4 linked regions of the Macaca mulatta genome follow. Each later gene encodes a partner of the first gene's protein in a complex. Links are inferred from orthologs where the notes say so. Each region holds a gene or a part of one and is shown on either strand. Other genes may lie near its edges. The genes, in order: CCKAR, CCK, GNAI1 and guanine nucleotide-binding protein G(s) subunit alpha isoforms XLas.

Region 1 (4,334 bases):
TTAGTTCCTCTGTGTCTGGCAGAGACTCAGCAAGATGTAGCATGCAGCCAGCGGAAGCACTGTCAGTACACAAGGAGCCCCACGGGTATCTAGCAAACAGACCAAGTCTCAGCACAGCCAAGCAGCACGTCAGAAACGCAGGTTCCACAGCCATTGTCGTGTGCTTTCCAAAGGGTCTGAACTGAGGAGATAATCGGTGCAATGGAGGCCGAAGGGCTTTCCAGCACCACAGAGCTTCATGGAACACCCAGACCCCTGAGTTGGTCCCCCTCTCTGATCTCATGTCCTGCTGTTTGCCCCTCACTCACTCCTGCTTCTATCTATTCATACCTCAATGGGGCCACCCTCATTCCCACCTCAGGGCCTTTGCACGTGCTGTTACCACTGCTAAAAATACTCCTCCTTTTGCCTGGGAGAAGCTGTCCCCGGATCTTCACAAGACTTTGTCCTCCTTGTGGTTCAGGTCTCAGATCACAGTCCCCTCCTTGAGACACCTCTCCTGACTACCCCTTCTAAATTAGCAGCCCCAGGCCAGGTGCAGTGGCTCACAACTGTAATCCCAACACTTGGAGGCCAAGGCAGGAGGATTGCTTGAGCTCAGGAGCTTGAGACCAGCCTGGGCAACATAGCGAGACCGCCTCTATTCTAAAACTAAAAAAATCAGCTGGGCTTAGTGGTGTGTACCCGTAGTCCCAGCTACTCAGGAGGCTAAGGTAGGAGGATTGCTTGAGCCAGGGAGATGAAGGCTGCAGTGAGCCATGATCGCACCACTCCACTGCAGCCTGGGGGACAGAGTAAGACCCTGTCCCCGCCCCCCAAAAAATCAGTCCCTAATCTGTTTGTATACATCACGTCTCCCTGCTTTACTTCCTTCATAGTACTTACTACCTGAAATAATTCTGTTCATTATTTGCTGACATGATAGAAAAGTGCCTGGCAAATGATTGACTCTCAATGAAGATGTGCTGAATGCAAGACTTCATGAATGACGAGGAAATCTTACTAACATCTTTTGTAATAAGGACCCAGGTACCTATGTTCAAAAGTACCTCAATCCTTCTAGTTAACAAGGGCAGAGACCACGAGAAATAACACTGTGTTTAGTAGCAACTTAACAACCAGCCAGCAGTTCTATCCACAGACACACACCACCGGGCATGGTTCCAGAACTAAAAAGGCACTAATTGCTTTTCTATAAGGAGGTAGAACACAGTCCCTCCGTGTTCTTTAGGCCTGATGGTCTGCATTATCGGATCTGTTACCGTGTTAATTGTTCCTGTCTCATACAGCCAGTTTGGGCTTTCTTCTGCACATGTCTTGGATGGTGACAGGTTCCTATATAGAGGAGTACTGGGGAAGCCTGTGTGTGTGTGTATGTGTCCGTGCGTGTGTACACATGTGTGTATAAAAGCAGCCACACTCTGAGAATGGTTAACAGGCAACCAGGCTGTCTGTGCTCAGGGCCCTAAGACTGGCCCAGGAAAGGGCCGGGGGGGTGGGGGGTGAAGGTGGAGCGGGCTTCGCTTGCGCTCACTGCCTTTTCCACAACAGGAGTGCAAATGCTTGCCCAGCTGGAGTGAGTGTGGTGAACTCAAGTCGCCTTTAGGAATGGCTGAAAAAGCCCACACCTGGAAATCACTCCCTCCCTGCTCCTCCACGGCAGGTTGCATTTGGGAGACGCTTCAGTCATTAGAGAAATGAGCAGGGAGTGAGCAATTCACCAGCTCTCCAGCACTTGGTGGAAAGCAGCAGGCAAGGATGGATGTGGTTGACAGCCTTCTTGTGAATGGAAGCAACATCACTCCTCCCTGCGAACTCGGGCTCGAAAATGAGACGCTTTTCTGCTTGGATCAGCCTCGTCCCTCCAAAGGTAAGTGTCGGAAGCTGTTATTTTAATCCAGGAAACTACTGAGTTGCGGGAGAAATCAGCAAAGGCAAGGCTGATAAAAAAATATACATAACCAAGTCATTGTGAGACAAGGCTGGATAAAGTCATATGTTCAGAAGTTTGCAGAAGAGATTAACAAGCAGAATAGAGTCAAATATTCTTATTGTCCCCCATGGGAGAGTTGGGCATTCATGAATAGGACTTGAGGGAACAAAAGCAGGGGAGGAAAAGCTGAGTGAAGCAAGAGGGAGTACAAGTGTCAAAGCCTGAACTTACAAGCACAGCAGAAAAGGTGTTGTCACCATGCAGCCGTTTTCTTTTCTTGGGGGGAAACCAGCGTGAAGTGGTTACAGTGAAATCATGCTTAGCAGCCAGGAAAGAAAGTGATCACTGTTCACTTGAGGAGCTTTGTTCTTAAGAAAAAGTGGTTCCCTGAGTGATCCTTTAACAAACCAACCTTCTACAAACAAAATAATTCAGTCTCTGCTTTCCTCAGTTTGTTTCTGCAAAATGTTGTCAGGACAGGAATGGTGGGTCCAGTGATGTACACCCCGGTGAGGGGGGAAATCGGCAGGAAATCACCCTTGGCTTCGGTTTTAGCATTCTGCTCTCATCACCTCCATCCCTCCGTCTTGCTCCTGTTAATGTCTGCAGAGTGGCAGCCAGCGGTGCAGATTCTCTTGTACTCCTTGATATTCCTGCTCAGCGTGCTGGGAAACACGCTGGTCATCACCGTGCTGATTCGGAACAAGCGGATGCGGACAGTCACCAACATCTTCCTCCTCTCCCTGGCTGTCAGCGATCTCATGCTCTGCCTCTTCTGCATGCCGTTCAACCTCATCCCCAGTCTGCTCAAGGATTTCATCTTCGGGAGCGCCGTCTGCAAGACCACCACCTACTTCATGGGTAAGTTGCTGCTGGTGACTCTTTCTGGAGCTTGCCCCAGACCCCACTCAGCCCCAGACCTTCCCAAACCTCTGACAATCACAGCAGAAGACCTCTGCTGAGGGCTGAATCACAGAACATTAGGCTGTGCACGGCTGTGTGCAAGGACATAGCTGCTGACTTGACGGTCATCCTTATACGTTCCCCGTAAGTCGGTCCCCATCATCCACGTTGGAGGTCAGTTTCTAAGAGTGAAATACATTGATAGGAAAACACAGGGGCAGTTAATTTTGCCTGATTCTATTTGAAGGAAAGAGGGACTTGCTTCCTTCTGTTTGAAGTCAAAAGTGACTTTAAGCTGCTCTATCCCTTTCTGGAAGCTGTTGACTGTGTCCTGAGCTATACCCAACTTGAGTCCCGGCTTCTAGGGAGGGTAAGGATTATGGAGGAGGGTTCTTTGTCATTGTTCCTCTTGTTTTCTTAGGGAACAGGGGCTATTTGAAAACCAGTTCTATCACAGTTCCAGATTCTCTTGCCAGGATTCACTTCTCAGCCTGTTCTCCCCAAAGCTGGGACCATCTCTGGCAGAGGGAGAGAGGTCTCTGCCCCTAGATGAGGAGTTGAATTTGCTCCTGGGGGCTGTGGGGTCGCTAAGCTGACCCTGATTGGCTGAGATATGTAGCTGTTTGCCTATGCCAAACAAAAATGATGATAATGAAAATCACAAGAGCTAAATTTTTTGTGCTTTTATGCACCCCATGTGGTACTAAGTGCTTTGACTTTCATGATCTTACCTTACCTCCCAACCACTCTATGAAGTAAATGCAATGATTCTTCCTTGTCTCATTAAGGAGGAAACAGAGGCACAGAGAGGTTCATAATGTGCCTAAAGCCACACAGATGGTAAGCAACAGAGCTGAGATTTGAGTCCAGATTAGTAGCCACACAGTGGTGAGCATGCTACCTCAGTTTGCCAACTGCTGTGGTTCTCCTGGAGTTGAACAAAGACACATTTCTTGGTCCCCTCTGGGTGCCAGATTGCCTAGTCCCTTGCCCTTTCTGAGAATTAGTTGGGAGAGGGGCAGAGGTGGGAAATAAGCAGGGAGTTATTTTTGTTCTGACCCAAGCCTTGAAGAATATGCAGCAGTGAGCTGGGCTAGGGTAGTCTTCAATGACCGGAAGGCTTTAAAAGTCTTTGTTTTTCCCAGTTGGGGAAGTGGGATTCCGCACTGACAAAATGATGATGAATTTCTGACCCTCGTGCCACCAAAAACCAAGAATGTGTCAATCCGTGTCCAAGTCCTCTGAAAAAAAAAAAAAGGACGAAACTTACAAAGGACAAAGATCATTGTTAAATAATGAAGCAATAATAATAACTAGTGCTGTAGACATCCAAGGCCCATCCATATATATCTTATGGTAATACTATTTGGGAACCTTAACCGGAAAATGTGAACCGAGGTTTAAAACGAGTGTTTTCATGGTGGCAAAACATTCTGAGTGCCACAAAGTTGTTCAGTTTGAAATGTTTAATTTTATGTTATGCAAATTTCAACAGCAT
Region 2 (4,333 bases), on another chromosome or scaffold:
CCTGTATCTGGGGACAGACACTAAATTATTTTCAGGCAGAAAATCAGCAGGAACTCAAAAGCTTTCAGACTTTCTCTCTCCATGTGATAAGTATTTCTATCTTCTTCAATTTAATTAGTAGGAAAGCAAAACAGAAGGTAGTGGGTGGGGCAATTTCCCAAAGACAGGAAGAAATACAACAAATCACTGATTTGTTCTTTCCTTCTGAAGCCTCTGGGTCAAAGAGTTCCAGTCTTCCCTTCATGTGAGCCCACAGGAGAACTCTGCAGAGCCAAAGCTCTTCATCTTATCCCTTTCTGGTCAAGCCAGGGGTTAAGGTTCAAATCCAGGCCCTGGAACACCTGTTGGGTAAGAGTGCAATGGTGCAATCTCGGCTCACTGCAACCTCCACCTCCCAGGTTCAAGCTACTCTCCCGCCTCAGCCTCCCATGTAGCTGGGATTGCAAACATGTGCCATCATAACCAGCTAATTTTGTATTTTTAGTAGAGATGGGGTTTCATCATGTTGATCAGGCTGGTCTCGAACTCCTGACCTCATGTGATCCACCTGCCTCGGCCTCCCAAAGTGCTGGGATTACAAGCGTGAGCCACTGCTCCTGGCCTGCTGAATTATTTTAATGTCCAGCTGTGTTTGTACTGTTCAGCACACTCCTCCACAGCCAGTGTTCATTATTAGTGCCACTGGGGATAAAGTTGGCAGAAAAAAGCTGCCGCAATCCAAAGCATGATTCCTATGGGTCACAAGAGATGAATGGGCCTCCCTCTGAATCACACAAAGAATTGGAAGGAGCTTAGGGGAAAGCTAGCCTCAGGTCAGGACTGCCTGCATGCCACTCAGCTAGTGAGGGGCTGAATCACCTTATTCCTGGAGAAAGACTTTGATGCTGAGAAAAATGACTTGCTCAGCTCTTGCTATAACTGTGACCATCTCTGCGACAGTAAAGTAAAAACAAATACCTCTCTTGTTGGGTAATCATGTGTAAGTCATTGCAAGGAGAACACAAAACTGCTGCTGATTCTTTCCTTCTGTTACATGGTTTGGTGGAGATGGACACATTGTCACTGCTTTCTTAAACTGTTGTAGCCAGATCTCAGGCATTCTCAGCATTGACGCCTTCCTGCTAGAGGATTTCCAAGGGTTGGTATCTGGGTGGCTCCCAGGTTCTTTGCGTTTTTAGTAGAGGGTATTTAGTGTATCTAGGAACCCTTTCCTAGGGTTCAATAATTATCTTTTAATGGCTTGGTAAAATGGTGTTGAACTTAATCAGCAACATTGCTAAAAATTAGTTCAAAGAAAGCTTTTCAAGAAGGGTCCCCTTACTTATAAATTAAGTCCTCCATACCCCTTCTCAGATTGCTACAAAGGACGGCCAGAAACCATGTTGCTTGTTTCCTACCGAGAGAGGTCATCTTCATTAGGCCGGCGCTAGAGAAGAGGGTCAGCATCCAGAGCCTGGGAACAAGGGCAGAAGTGAGGGATGGGGAGGCAGCATTCTTACCTTTCCTGGCCTGCTGGATGTATCTTGCCAGCAGCGCGCCCAGGTGCGCTCGGGACTCCCCGTCCGTTCTCTGCACTGCCCTCAGCTGCCTACGGGGCGCCTCCTCTGCCCGCTGCAGCCCGGAGCCCGCGGGCTCTGCGGGAGGCACCGGCTGCGTCAGGGCGCCAGCCGCCAGTACCGCCATCAGTATGCACAGGCGCACGCCGCTGTTCATGGCTGTAGGGAGCAAAGGAGGAGGGGGCGTTAACGGAAAGGCTGGGCATCCGAGAGCTCCTGCGGCGGGCAGGGCACCCAGAAACCGGCTTAGGACAAACACAGGTGCTCCAGACTCCCCAGGCCGCCACAAGCACGAGGGCTCAAGCCGAGTGCCATGGCGCGCGCCCCCGGGCGCACACGGCTGGTCTTTGGGAACTCCACACCCAGTGCCGAGGGGCAGACAGAGACCCTGTTTTTTGCCGTGTTGAGCAGAAGTAATGTTTTCTGCTTCCCTAAAGTTTGAGGAAGTGTTTGCAGAGTGCCTCTCTTCTAACTGAAAGAAGAAAAATAAAACCCCACGAGATTAAAAATAGTGTGAAAAAAATATCCTAAAGGGAAGACTCCGTGGGAGAAATGAGAACCCTAGGGAAAGCACCTTTCCAGATAGCTAACAAGCTTTCAATATGGAAATACAGTAAATGACGAAAAAGAGAAGCACAGTTTAAAATGTAGGAGCAATAAATAAAGCCGTATTTATAAAGTTTTCTCAAAGTGTAGGTGGGAAATGGCAATAAGCCACTACGCAAAACATAGGCAGGTTTTAAAATCAGAAATATGTGCCCAGCACTCAGGCTTCCAAAGCCCCGTGCATTTTAGATCGCTAGTGGATAAAACACCCTCACATTTCTATCCGTAAAGCCTCGAAATTTTCTGCAGTATTTAGAAAATGAATTTGAATCTTAAAACCCTCTGGTATTTTATTAGAAAATATTGCAACGTCCCCAGCACCGCTGTGTAACAGCTAGCAAATCTCAATCTGCATGCGAATCTTAGCGAATGGGTATGCCGGCGCGTGAAAGCCTCTAAAGCAGCTCTACCTACCCAGACCTCACTTTTAGACCCGGAACCGTTGTTTCTGACTTCAAGAAATGTCTTTCGAGCTCTCGGAGGAAAGACACAGAAAATAGAAAAGCAAAATGGAAATGGGCACAAAGCTGACGACAGCATTCTTCAAAGACACACGACACTTGGATCCCCCGCTGACGAACCGAGGGACCTACCTTTTGGATTAGAACGCAGCTGGCTTGGCGTTTCCAACCGGAGCAGCCCGGCAGCTGAGCCAAGTTCAGGGAGGACCAGAGGGCGGCTGCCTCTTAAATAGCCCCGCCCGGCGGCGTCGCCCAGTCATGTATTTACCCAGCGCTGACGCAGACTGGCAGCAACACGTGCTCAGAGGGTGGCCACTGGGACGACAACCGGTTGAAGTGGCTCCTGGGGGAGAGGGGGAGGTGGTCCAGTGGGGCGGATTTAACCCCTCCCTGGCTGGGCCCGGTGTCTGCCCCCCTCTGGGTCCGAGAAGCTTCCTTCCAACCCTTTCCAGCTGCCGCTCCCCTGAGCATTCCAGAGCAGTGCTCTCCAAGGTGGGAAACCTAGGAGTTTGGAGTCTTCCCTGGGATGGAAAAGCTGCCGCTAGCTTAGTTCGCTTTGGGGACCGGAGGGTCCAGAAAGGAAACTGGGGCGGGGGTTGGGGGTGGACACTGGGCGGGACTGAGCGTCAGTAAGGCGCGATTCTGAGAGGGATGGGGCGTGGGCCCCCCTACCCCGGAGCGTCCGAGGCGCTGGTCTTCATACTTGTGTGGGCTCTTTCGAAGGAGAGAGGAGTCGGGGTCTTTACTTTCTTCTCAGCCGCATTAAAAGCCCTCGCAGTTCTCCAGGTTTCTGAGAGCTAGTGTTCCGGGTCAGTGAAAGGGCTCCGGCCACAGCTGGCTGTTGGTGTTCTGGGCCTTTCTTTACGCAGCTGTAAAATGGGGATGACACCATCTGGCTTTGCTCAGAGGAATCCGGCTTGGGAAAGCGATGTGTTTCCTTCCCTGGCCAACTTACAGCCACCCGCTGCGCTCACTGTTCCCAGCTGCCGACAAGCGGCGCCAGCGAGGGTCCTGGGGAACTTGCACACCGCACCCCTGCAAGCTTGGGTAGACCACGGCATTCGCCCCTCCCACCTTTCCGGAGGGCCCACACACTCACACCCCTAGGACCGTACCTGCCAGAACTCAGCTGCGCAGCCTGGAGATGAGGACCTCGCCCGTCGTCACTCACCCGTCCGGTGGAGGGAAGGGAGGCACCAAGGCTGCAGTGCGCCTTTCCCTGCGCGCGGTTACTCTCCTGGCTCCGGAGCGGGCCGACCCGTAGTCCCTCAGTGCGCGGTGGTCGTCTACACCCTGAAGCCCTTTGAGTTCGAATCGGCTTGCTGGTGCTTGAGTTCGCGACGTCCCCGCAAAGGCACTGCGAACCCCATTTCACAGACCGCAAACCGAGGATCGAGGAAGAGCAGCGCTTGCCAAGGCTCCACAATGCGCCCCTCGCCCTCTCCGTGCACCCAGGCAGCCCAGCCTGGGACCTGGAGATCACCAGGCATCCCTGAACCTTGGGACCTCAACTCCTCTCCCTTTCTTTCCCTCATTCGTCTTAGAGGGAAGGAGAAAGATTTAGAAGCGCTTATTTTAAAATCGGAATCCGTATTCCGCTCTGGAATTCCCTCTGGAATGGAGGGACTGTGGCGATGACAGTGTGGGGGTCGAGTGGGTGAGGCGGGGGTAGGGAAGGTGGGGCGGGGGGCGGCCCGGAGACACCTCCGG
Region 3 (3,557 bases), on another chromosome or scaffold:
TGTTTACACACAGTGCAGTCCATTCATTTGTTTGCTTTAATGTTCTAAGTGTTCTTCCATGTGTTAACGTCTTGTCTTTTGAGGGTACTTTTGTTTTTGCTTTTGTTTTAGAGATACCCTCCCTTCAATCAAAACTTTTAAAAACTAGCAGATTTTTTCCCCTTTTGAGAAGTCCAGTTTGTGACATTGTTTTCCTCCCATAAAGTCCTTCTCTCCTTCCTTTTCATCACACATTTCCACAACTATTCAGAGCTTTTTTTGTTAAAGAACTTCTCAGAACTTCTTGAACGTTTAATATGATGTTAACTCATTTCTCCTCTTAACAGAATGTTTGATGTGGGAGGTCAGAGATCTGAGCGGAAGAAGTGGATTCATTGCTTCGAAGGAGTGACGGCGATCATCTTCTGTGTAGCACTGAGTGACTACGATCTGGTTCTAGCTGAAGATGAAGAAATGGCAAGTAGAACTACTTTAAGAGTTGAGCTTGAAACATGAAGAGCTGAAGGTGTTGCCAAGAATTTTTCTGAGAAAAATTCTTAAATTCTTTCTAATGTCTATAACAATTTGAAAGTACAGGGTCTTTCCTCTAACTTTTCTATTTGCCTAATACAAGAGAAATATACTAGAGAAGCACAGGTGGATCTTGAGGAAAAGGAAAGTATGGAGAGTCAATCTCACCTCAAGCCTGTAAGCTTAACTATGCATTTCTGTATCTGATATCAACATAGCACATGGAAATATATTTACATAGTAGTTCAAGATCCCTTTTCTTAATTTGTTACTTCTATTAGTTTAGTAAATCCTTTTTTTTTTTTTTTTTTTTTTTTTTTTTTGAGATGGAGTCTTGCTGTGTTGCCAGGATGGAGTGCAGTGGCACGATCTTGGCTCACTGCAACCTCCACCTCCCGGTTTGAAGCCAGTTCTCCTGCCCCAGCCTCCTAAGTAGTTGGAATTACCGGCACGTGCCACCACACCCAGCTGGTTTTTGTATTTTTAGTAGAGATGGGGTTTCGCCACATTGGCCAGGCTGGTCGCAAACTCCTGACCTCTGGTGATCCACCCACCTCAGCCTCCCAAAGTGCTGGGATTACAGGCCTGAGCCACCACACCCAGCCAGTAAATCTTTAATATATGTTATACTTTGTTGCTGCCCTGTAATTTTCAGATAGGTTTCAATGTACCATTAATATGGGGGAAGTATTTTTAAATAGAAATGTAAAACTTTAAGTTAACTTTATTACGAAGTGGGGAAAAAGGAGTAGAAATGTCTTTTGTACAGTTGACCCTTGAACAACAGGGGTTTAAGCTGCATGGGTCCACATATATGAGAATTTTTTTCAACCAAGCACATTCATGGGATGCAAAACCTGAGTATGCAGAAAGTCAACTTTTCCTGTACGTGGGTTCCACAGAACCGCCTGCTGGACTTGAGTATATGCAGATTTTGGTACCTTTGGGGGTCTTTGTACTAATCCCTCTGAATATACCGAGAGACGATTATATCTTTAAAATCAAGTCTATGAAATTATAGTGCAATGCAACACCACATGTTCATTTCTCTTATTTCAGCACTACAAAATGTATCAGTGCCCTCTTTGATGAGCACAGATCCTAGAAGTTCCAGAAACAGGAATTGGAAGTGTTCTTCCAGTATTTATATTTATTGTAATATTTAGAGTAATGGGCTAATTGGGTCTTAGCTTGTTCAATTCAATTTTATTAATCTTTAAAAACCTCTGTTTATCTTTTAATGGAAACTTAGATGAAATAAGCTCTATGACGATGTCATTTCTTTTCACAAGTTCACATTTCACATCCTAGATTATACTGTCCTGTAGCAGGATGTTCTCTGGCATAGAGCATGACATATAGTGGGCACTTAGCAAGTAAAAGTTGGATGCAGAAAGTGATGAAAGATGGTTAGACACTTCTCTCACCTAAAGTGAAAGTGTGTTCTGAAATGACAGAAATGTATTTTTGTGATATGTTATGTATTTTTCAATGACTAAACTCTGTTTTATTACAACACCTATTATTTTTTAAAATACTCCTTAAAAGTCCTTGCTGTTAGTGACCATTGGTTTTCTTTTTTTCTGTTATAGAATCGAATGCATGAAAGCATGAAGTTGTTTGACAGCATATGTAACAACAAGTGGTTTACAGATACATCCATTATACTTTTTCTCAACAAGAAGGATCTCTTTGAAGAAAAAATCAAGAAGAGCCCTCTCACTATATGCTATCCAGAATATGCAGGTATTTTACTTTTCTGGGAATCACTTGTCAAGTTACATATTTCTAATTGAAACTTTCCCTAAGGCAAGAATTCAGTTGTTAATTTAAATCTCTTGGCTTAGTGATTCTTAGACCTTTAAGGGATATTATTTATCAAACTGCAGTTGAGCACAGAAATTTCCTTAAGATGTGGAGGAAATTACTGAAAATAATGTATTCATTTTATGGAAAAGCTGTTAGATAATGTTTAGTGATGACTCCAAGTTAAAATACTGTTTTTAAACCAAGTTAACAGATTTCATATCAGTACTGTGTGATGTACAATAAATAAGACATGTCTCTGCCCACCATCTAATCTCAAAGACAGACATACTTAAACAACAAGCAATAGCAGTGCATCCTACTGCTAAAAAGGAACATGAACATTATTGTAAGGGGGAAAATGAAGATGGGATCATTGAAGCGGCTAACTCTTCCAGAAGGGCAGGGAAGGTTTCGCAAGAAGCCTAAGCTTTGGTAATGAGACTGTTAATAGTGCTTTAATTTTACTACAGTGGAAAATTCCATGGAGTGAGAAAAGTAGACCTGAAGTACAGTCCTGACTTTTCCATAATTAGCTCTTTGATCTTGAGCAAGGCAGTTAGTTCACCTAGGTCTCAGTATTCCATCTGTGAAGTCAGGAGTTGGGCTAAAACATTAGTTTTGGTTTAGTTTAGTTCCTTGGAGCACCTCCTGGGTTGCTGTTGAAGGTGGAGATGGGAGAGGGAACAGAACTAATTACTGCCCCCCGCACCCGCCACCTTATAACTTTTTCATTAAAGCAGAGGAACTCAGCTTTCATCTGGTTTCCATATCAAGTAAGGTTTTATTTTAGTGAAGAGCATTCAATATGCCTTAAAAAACAGGAGTTTGACTACCACTGGTGTATGTAATCTCCAAATCTACTTTGAAGAGTTTAGTTATTTACCGTCACTCCACTCTTCCTGTTTTTTTTAAAAAAGTCTCAAGGATTTGTTTTTTTATAAACAACGTTTTCCTGAGTCTTGTATTGAGTCAATTGTACGATGAGTATTCACTGCCATTTTACAGGAAATGTTAAGACAACCCTGTGATGTCAGTGCTCGGGTATCCCTACCCATACAAATGAGAATAGCGAGGCTTAGTGAAGCCAGAGTGCAGTTCCAGACCCAAATCCATTGTCCTCCTGCTCCTCGACCATTCATGGCTAGGCTACATTTAATTAAACATTCACTGAAACCAAAAGGGGAGGGTTCTTTGGTAAATATAATCATGTTAATTGTTATAGCTCTTTTTGCGTACTG
Region 4 (4,002 bases), on another chromosome or scaffold:
CACACCCCCCACCCCTCCATCGGTGCCACCGCAGCTACTGCCTAGGGGGCTTTGCTCTTGGTGGTACGCACCCGAGACCTTCTTATTCCCCTGCGTCACCATCCACATAAACAAGGGAGCACCCTGCTTGCGCTGCGTGGGCCACTGCGGAGACCCCTAGAGTGTGATGAGGGTGGGGGCTGTTAAAGTGCTTTACCGGAGCCAACCTCAGCAAGCAACAAACAAAAGCAGTAAAAAGTACACCCAAGGCATTTAAAAAACAAATTGTGTGCTCGCATACTCGGCATCCCCTCTCCCTCGTCTCTCTCTGCTTCTCTGGTGGGCTCACGACCACCTGTCGCATCCCCACGCATGCCTGTGCCCCTTCTCAGGCACCAAAAGCCTTGCGCTCTGGACTAGGGGCTTGAGATCCGGAGCTGCCTGGAGGCTGGGGGCTATGACTCAGTGTTTCAGGGGTATCCTGGGGTGATGAAACCCTTCTTCAGTCCCCCCTCCCCCGAGGAGTCGGTTGGGTTGGGGAGGGAGGGTTTCAGCTCCTGTACTCCAGCGTCCCGAGGCCCACGTCTTGCGTCACGTGTCCCGCAACGCAGGAGAGCTTTCTCTGGCCAGGGGAGAAGCGAGGAGAAAGATTCCAAATCAGTCAGGGAGAGGAGTGGAAGGAGCCAAAACGTCCCTGCGAGGCCTGCGCTCGTCAGCCCCCTTACCCAAAGTCCCGGGCCGCGGCGCGAGGAGCAGGATTCTGGAGCTGGAGCCAGCTCGGCACTGGAACCGGCGTCCTCTGGTGGCAGCGAGAGAGCGCTACTGGCGATTTTCGGACCGAATCGGCACGCTCGTCAGATCCAAGCAGGCGGGACTGGCCTGGAGGAGAAAGAAAGAGAGAGGAGGGCATAAGGACAGACCAAGGAAGAGGGGCTGGGGGGCATACTGAGGGGATAAAAAGTGGCCAGAAAGGAGCCAAGACTCCACCAGCAACAATTGAGTTGCTTCAGCCTCAGTCTAGGGTTCCAGGCCTTGAAGCCCCCCAACCTCACAAGGGTTGGAAAGTGAGGCTGGTGAACTTTCCAGCTGGTACTTTGATTTAAAAATAATAATAATAATTTTTTCACCCTAGTTCGGTTGGGTGCTCCGTCTTACGGAGCCCCAAACTTATTTTGAGAGGCCGCCACCCTGTTATGGGCGTGCGCAACTGCCTCGACGGCAATAATATGTCAGGACAACGCGATATCCCCCCTGAAATCGGGGAACAGCCCGATCAACCATCTTTGGAGGCCCCAGGGGCAGCTGCCCCCGGTGCTGGGCCTAGCCCAGCCGAAGAGATGGAGACCGAACCGCCTCACAACGAGCCCATCCCCATCAAGAATGACAGCGAGGCCTGTGGACCCCCAGAGGTCTCCAGGCCCAACTTTCAGGTCCTCAACCAGGCATTCAGGGAAGCTGGAGCCCATGGAAGCTACAGCCCACCTCCTGAGGAAGCAATGCCCTTCGAGGTCGAACAGCCCAGCTTGGGAGGCTTCTGGCCTACACTGGAGCAGCCTGGATCCCCCAGTGGGGCCCATGCAGGCCTTGAGGCCTTCGGCCCAGCATTCATGGAACCTGGAGCCTTCAGTGGTGCCAGACCAGGCCTGGGAGGATACAGCCCTCCACCAGAAGAAGCTATGCCCTTTGAGTTTGACCAGCCTGCCAAGACAGGCTGCAGTCAACCTCTCTTACAGGTCCCAGACCTTGCTCCAGGAGGCCCAGGTGCTGCAGGGGTCCCCGGAGCTCCTCCCGAGGAGCCCCAAGCCCTCAGGCCTCCAAAGACTGGCTCCAGAGGAGGCTACAGCCCTCCCCCTGAGGAGACTATGCCATTTGAGCTTGATGGAGAAGGATCTGGGGACGACAGCCCACCCCCGGGGCTTTCCCGAGTTATCGCACAAGTTGACCGCGGTGGCCAGTTCGCGGCAGTCGCGGCCTCGAGTGCGGTCCGCCTCACTCCCGCCGCGAACGCGCCTCCCCTCTGGGTCCCAGGCGCCATCGGCAGCCCATCCCGAGAGGCTGTCAGACCTCCTCCTAACTTCACGGGCAGCGGCCCCCCGATGGAGATCTCCGGACCCCCGCTCGAGATTGGCAGCGCCCCCGCTGGGGTCGACGACGCTCCCGTCAACATGGACAGCCCCCCAATCGCGCTTGACGGCCCGCCCATCGAGGTCTCCGGAGCCCCAGATAAGAGAGAGCGAGCAGAGAGACCCCCAGTTGAGGAGGAAGCAGCAGAGATGGAAGGAAGCACAGCCGCTGATGCCGCGGAGGGAGGAAAAGTCCCCTCTCCGGGGTACGGATCCCCTGCCGCCGGGGCAGCTTCAACGGATACCGCCACCGGGGCAGCCCGTGCAGCCCCAGCGGATCCCGACTCCGGGGCAGCCCCAGAAGATCCCGACTCCGGGGCAGCCCCTGCCGCCCCGGCCGATCCCGACTCCGGGGCGGCCCCTGACGCCCCGGCCGATCCCGACTCCGGGGCGGCCCCTGACGCCCCGGCCGATCCCGACTCCGGGGCGGCCCCTGACGCCCCGGCCGATCCCGACTCCGGGGCGGCCCCTGACGCCCCAGCGGTTCCAGATGCCGGGGCAGCCCCTGACGCCCCAGCCGATCCAGATGCCGGGGCAGCCCCTGAGGTTCCCGCGGCCCCTGCGGCTGCTGAGACCCGGGCAGCCCATGTCGCCCCAGCTGCGCCTGACGCCGGGGCTCCCACTGCCCCAGCCGCTTCTGCCACCCGGGCAGCCCAAGCCGCCCGGGCGGCCTCGGCAGCCCCTGCCTCCGGGGCCAGACGCAAGCTCCATCACCTTAGACCCCCCAGCCCCGAGATCCAGGCTGCCGATCCGCCTACTCCGCGGCCTGCTCGCGCGTCTGCCTGGCGGGGCAAGTCCGAGCGCAGCTGCGGCCGCCGCGTGTACTACGATGAAGGGGCGGCCAGCAGCGACGATGACTCCAGCGGAGACGAGTCCGACGATGGGACCTTCGGATGCATCCGCTGGTTTCAGCATCGGCGAAATCGCCGCCGCCGAAAGCCCCAGCGCAACTTACTCCGCAACTTCCTCATGCAAGCCTTCGGGGGCTGCTTCGGTCGATCTGAGAGTCCCCAGCCCAAAGCCTCGCACTCCTCCAAGGTCAAGAAGGTACCCCTGGTGGAGAAGCGCAGACAGATGCGCAAAGAAGCCCTGGAGAAGCGGGCCCAGAAGCGCGCAGAGAAGAAACGCAGCAAGCTCATCGACAAACAACTCCAGGACGAAAAGATGGGCTACATGTGTACGCACCGCCTGCTGCTTCTAGGTAATGCGGCGGACTCTGCCTGCGGGCAGCAGGGCCGCCGGGGAACTGGGTAGGGGGTGGCAGGGCTGCCTGCTGGGGCTCGGGGCTCGACAGTGGGAGGAGGGGATCCAGCCAAAGGCGGGAAGAGCTTGCTAGAAAGTTCCAGGGAGGGACCCTAACTATGCCCTGGGAGCGGGAGGGGATCTTGGGTGGATTCGGGTGGCCGAAGTATATGCCCTCCAGGGAGAAAAGTGATGCCGAGCGACACTGAGGGTCGTTTCCGGCTGGACAGGCCAGCGCCAGCAACCGTAAGCTGGACAGGCAGGGGCTTTCAGGTGAGCCAGGAACTGCCGGGGAGGGCCCCGGGGCTCCCCTGGCTAGGCTGGTGGGGTCCATGGTGGGCTAGGGTCTTTGGGAAAGGCGCGCCCCCGCCTCGCCTGGCACGGCTGCTTGGACTCAGACAGCTTGTCGTTGGTGTGTGTTGGTGTCCATATTCTGTGTTCGCCTGTGCATGATACGCTAAAGTGTCTCCCGTTCCTATCCCGGCACCCCCAAATTACCCGGCGACTGTGTACTTGTACTTGGGAACGGGCTGTCTTGTGGTTTGCGTCATGGCGCGGGCAAAAAACTTTCAGTGTTCGCACACTCTGGTGGTACCTGCGCCCGGGCGCTCTGCGGTGAGCCGTGCGGAGTACGCGCGGGGAAGGTGGCGGGGCCTCC

The links.
Region 2: the proteins of CCKAR (region 1) and CCK are in contact, whole or in part, in a cryo-EM structure (PDB 7MBX), measured with the Homo sapiens proteins. The link is inferred for Macaca mulatta from reciprocal best matches to the Homo sapiens genes CCKAR and CCK. Residues at the interface, in NP_000721.1 of Homo sapiens: Cys94, Phe97, Asn98, Pro101, Asn102, Lys105, Asp106, Phe107, Thr118, Met121, Gly122, Val125, Tyr176, Phe185, Asn194, Met195, Cys196, Arg197, Phe198, His210, Leu213, Leu217, Ile329, Phe330, Ala332, Asn333, Arg336, Ala343, Glu344, Leu347; in NP_000720.1 of Homo sapiens: Asp96, Tyr97, Met98, Gly99, Trp100, Met101, Asp102, Phe103.
Region 3: the proteins of CCKAR (region 1) and GNAI1 are in contact, whole or in part, in a cryo-EM structure (PDB 7EZH), measured with the Homo sapiens proteins. The link is inferred for Macaca mulatta from reciprocal best matches to the Homo sapiens genes CCKAR and GNAI1. Residues at the interface, in NP_000721.1 of Homo sapiens: Thr74, Thr76, Arg139, Ala142, Ile143, Pro146, Leu147, Ser149, Arg150, Val151, Ser156, Ser298, Asn299, Ser300, Ser301, Asn304, Ala307, Lys308, Val311, Leu315, Met373, Asn374, Lys375, Arg376; in NP_002060.4 of Homo sapiens: Glu28, Ala31, Arg32, Glu33, Val34, Leu194, Thr219, Lys314, Glu318, Ile319, Tyr320, Phe336, Thr340, Ile343, Ile344, Asn347, Leu348, Lys349, Asp350, Cys351, Gly352, Leu353, Phe354.
Region 4: the proteins of CCKAR (region 1) and guanine nucleotide-binding protein G(s) subunit alpha isoforms XLas are in contact, whole or in part, in a cryo-EM structure (PDB 7XOV), measured with the Homo sapiens proteins. The link is inferred for Macaca mulatta from reciprocal best matches to the Homo sapiens genes CCKAR and GNAS. Residues at the interface, in NP_000721.1 of Homo sapiens: Thr76, Glu138, Arg139, Ala142, Ile143, Cys144, Pro146, Leu147, Gln148, Ser149, Arg150, Val151, Gln153, Thr154, Lys155, Glu235, Leu236, Ser301, Ala303, Asn304, Ala307, Lys308, Arg310, Val311, Met314, Phe372, Met373, Asn374, Lys375, Arg376; in NP_000507.1 of Homo sapiens: Gln31, Gln35, Arg38, Ala39, His41, Asp215, Val217, Phe219, Asp354, Gly355, Tyr358, Phe376, Cys379, Arg380, Ile383, Gln384, Arg385, His387, Leu388, Gln390, Tyr391, Glu392, Leu393, Leu394.

What each region holds. Positions count from the first base shown.
Region 1 is NC_133410.1:25,525,806-25,530,139, reverse strand, and holds the start of CCKAR (cholecystokinin receptor type A), read left to right. Parts: upstream 1-1,532; 5' UTR 1,533-1,758; coding exon 1,759-1,870; intron 1,871-2,542; coding exon 2,543-2,794; intron 2,795-4,334. UniProt on the Homo sapiens protein: Receptor for cholecystokinin. Mediates pancreatic growth and enzyme secretion, smooth muscle contraction of the gall bladder and stomach. Has a 1000-fold higher affinity for CCK rather than for gastrin.
Region 2 is NC_133407.1:105,592,227-105,596,559, forward strand, and holds the start of CCK (cholecystokinin), read right to left. Parts: upstream 2,823-4,333; 5' UTR 2,756-2,822; intron 1,716-2,755; 5' UTR 1,714-1,715; coding exon 1,500-1,713; intron 1-1,499. UniProt on the Homo sapiens protein: This peptide hormone induces gall bladder contraction and the release of pancreatic enzymes in the gut. Its function in the brain is not clear.
Region 3 is NC_133408.1:139,273,837-139,277,393, reverse strand, and holds part of GNAI1 (guanine nucleotide-binding protein G(i) subunit alpha-1), read left to right. Parts: intron 1-326; coding exon 327-456; intron 457-2,102; coding exon 2,103-2,256; intron 2,257-3,557. UniProt on the Homo sapiens protein: Guanine nucleotide-binding proteins (G proteins) function as transducers downstream of G protein-coupled receptors (GPCRs) in numerous signaling cascades.
Region 4 is NC_133415.1:111,642,741-111,646,742, forward strand, and holds the start of guanine nucleotide-binding protein G(s) subunit alpha isoforms XLas, read left to right. Parts: upstream 1-1,157; 5' UTR 1,158-1,172; coding exon 1,173-3,303; intron 3,304-4,002. UniProt on the Homo sapiens protein: Guanine nucleotide-binding proteins (G proteins) function as transducers in numerous signaling pathways controlled by G protein-coupled receptors (GPCRs).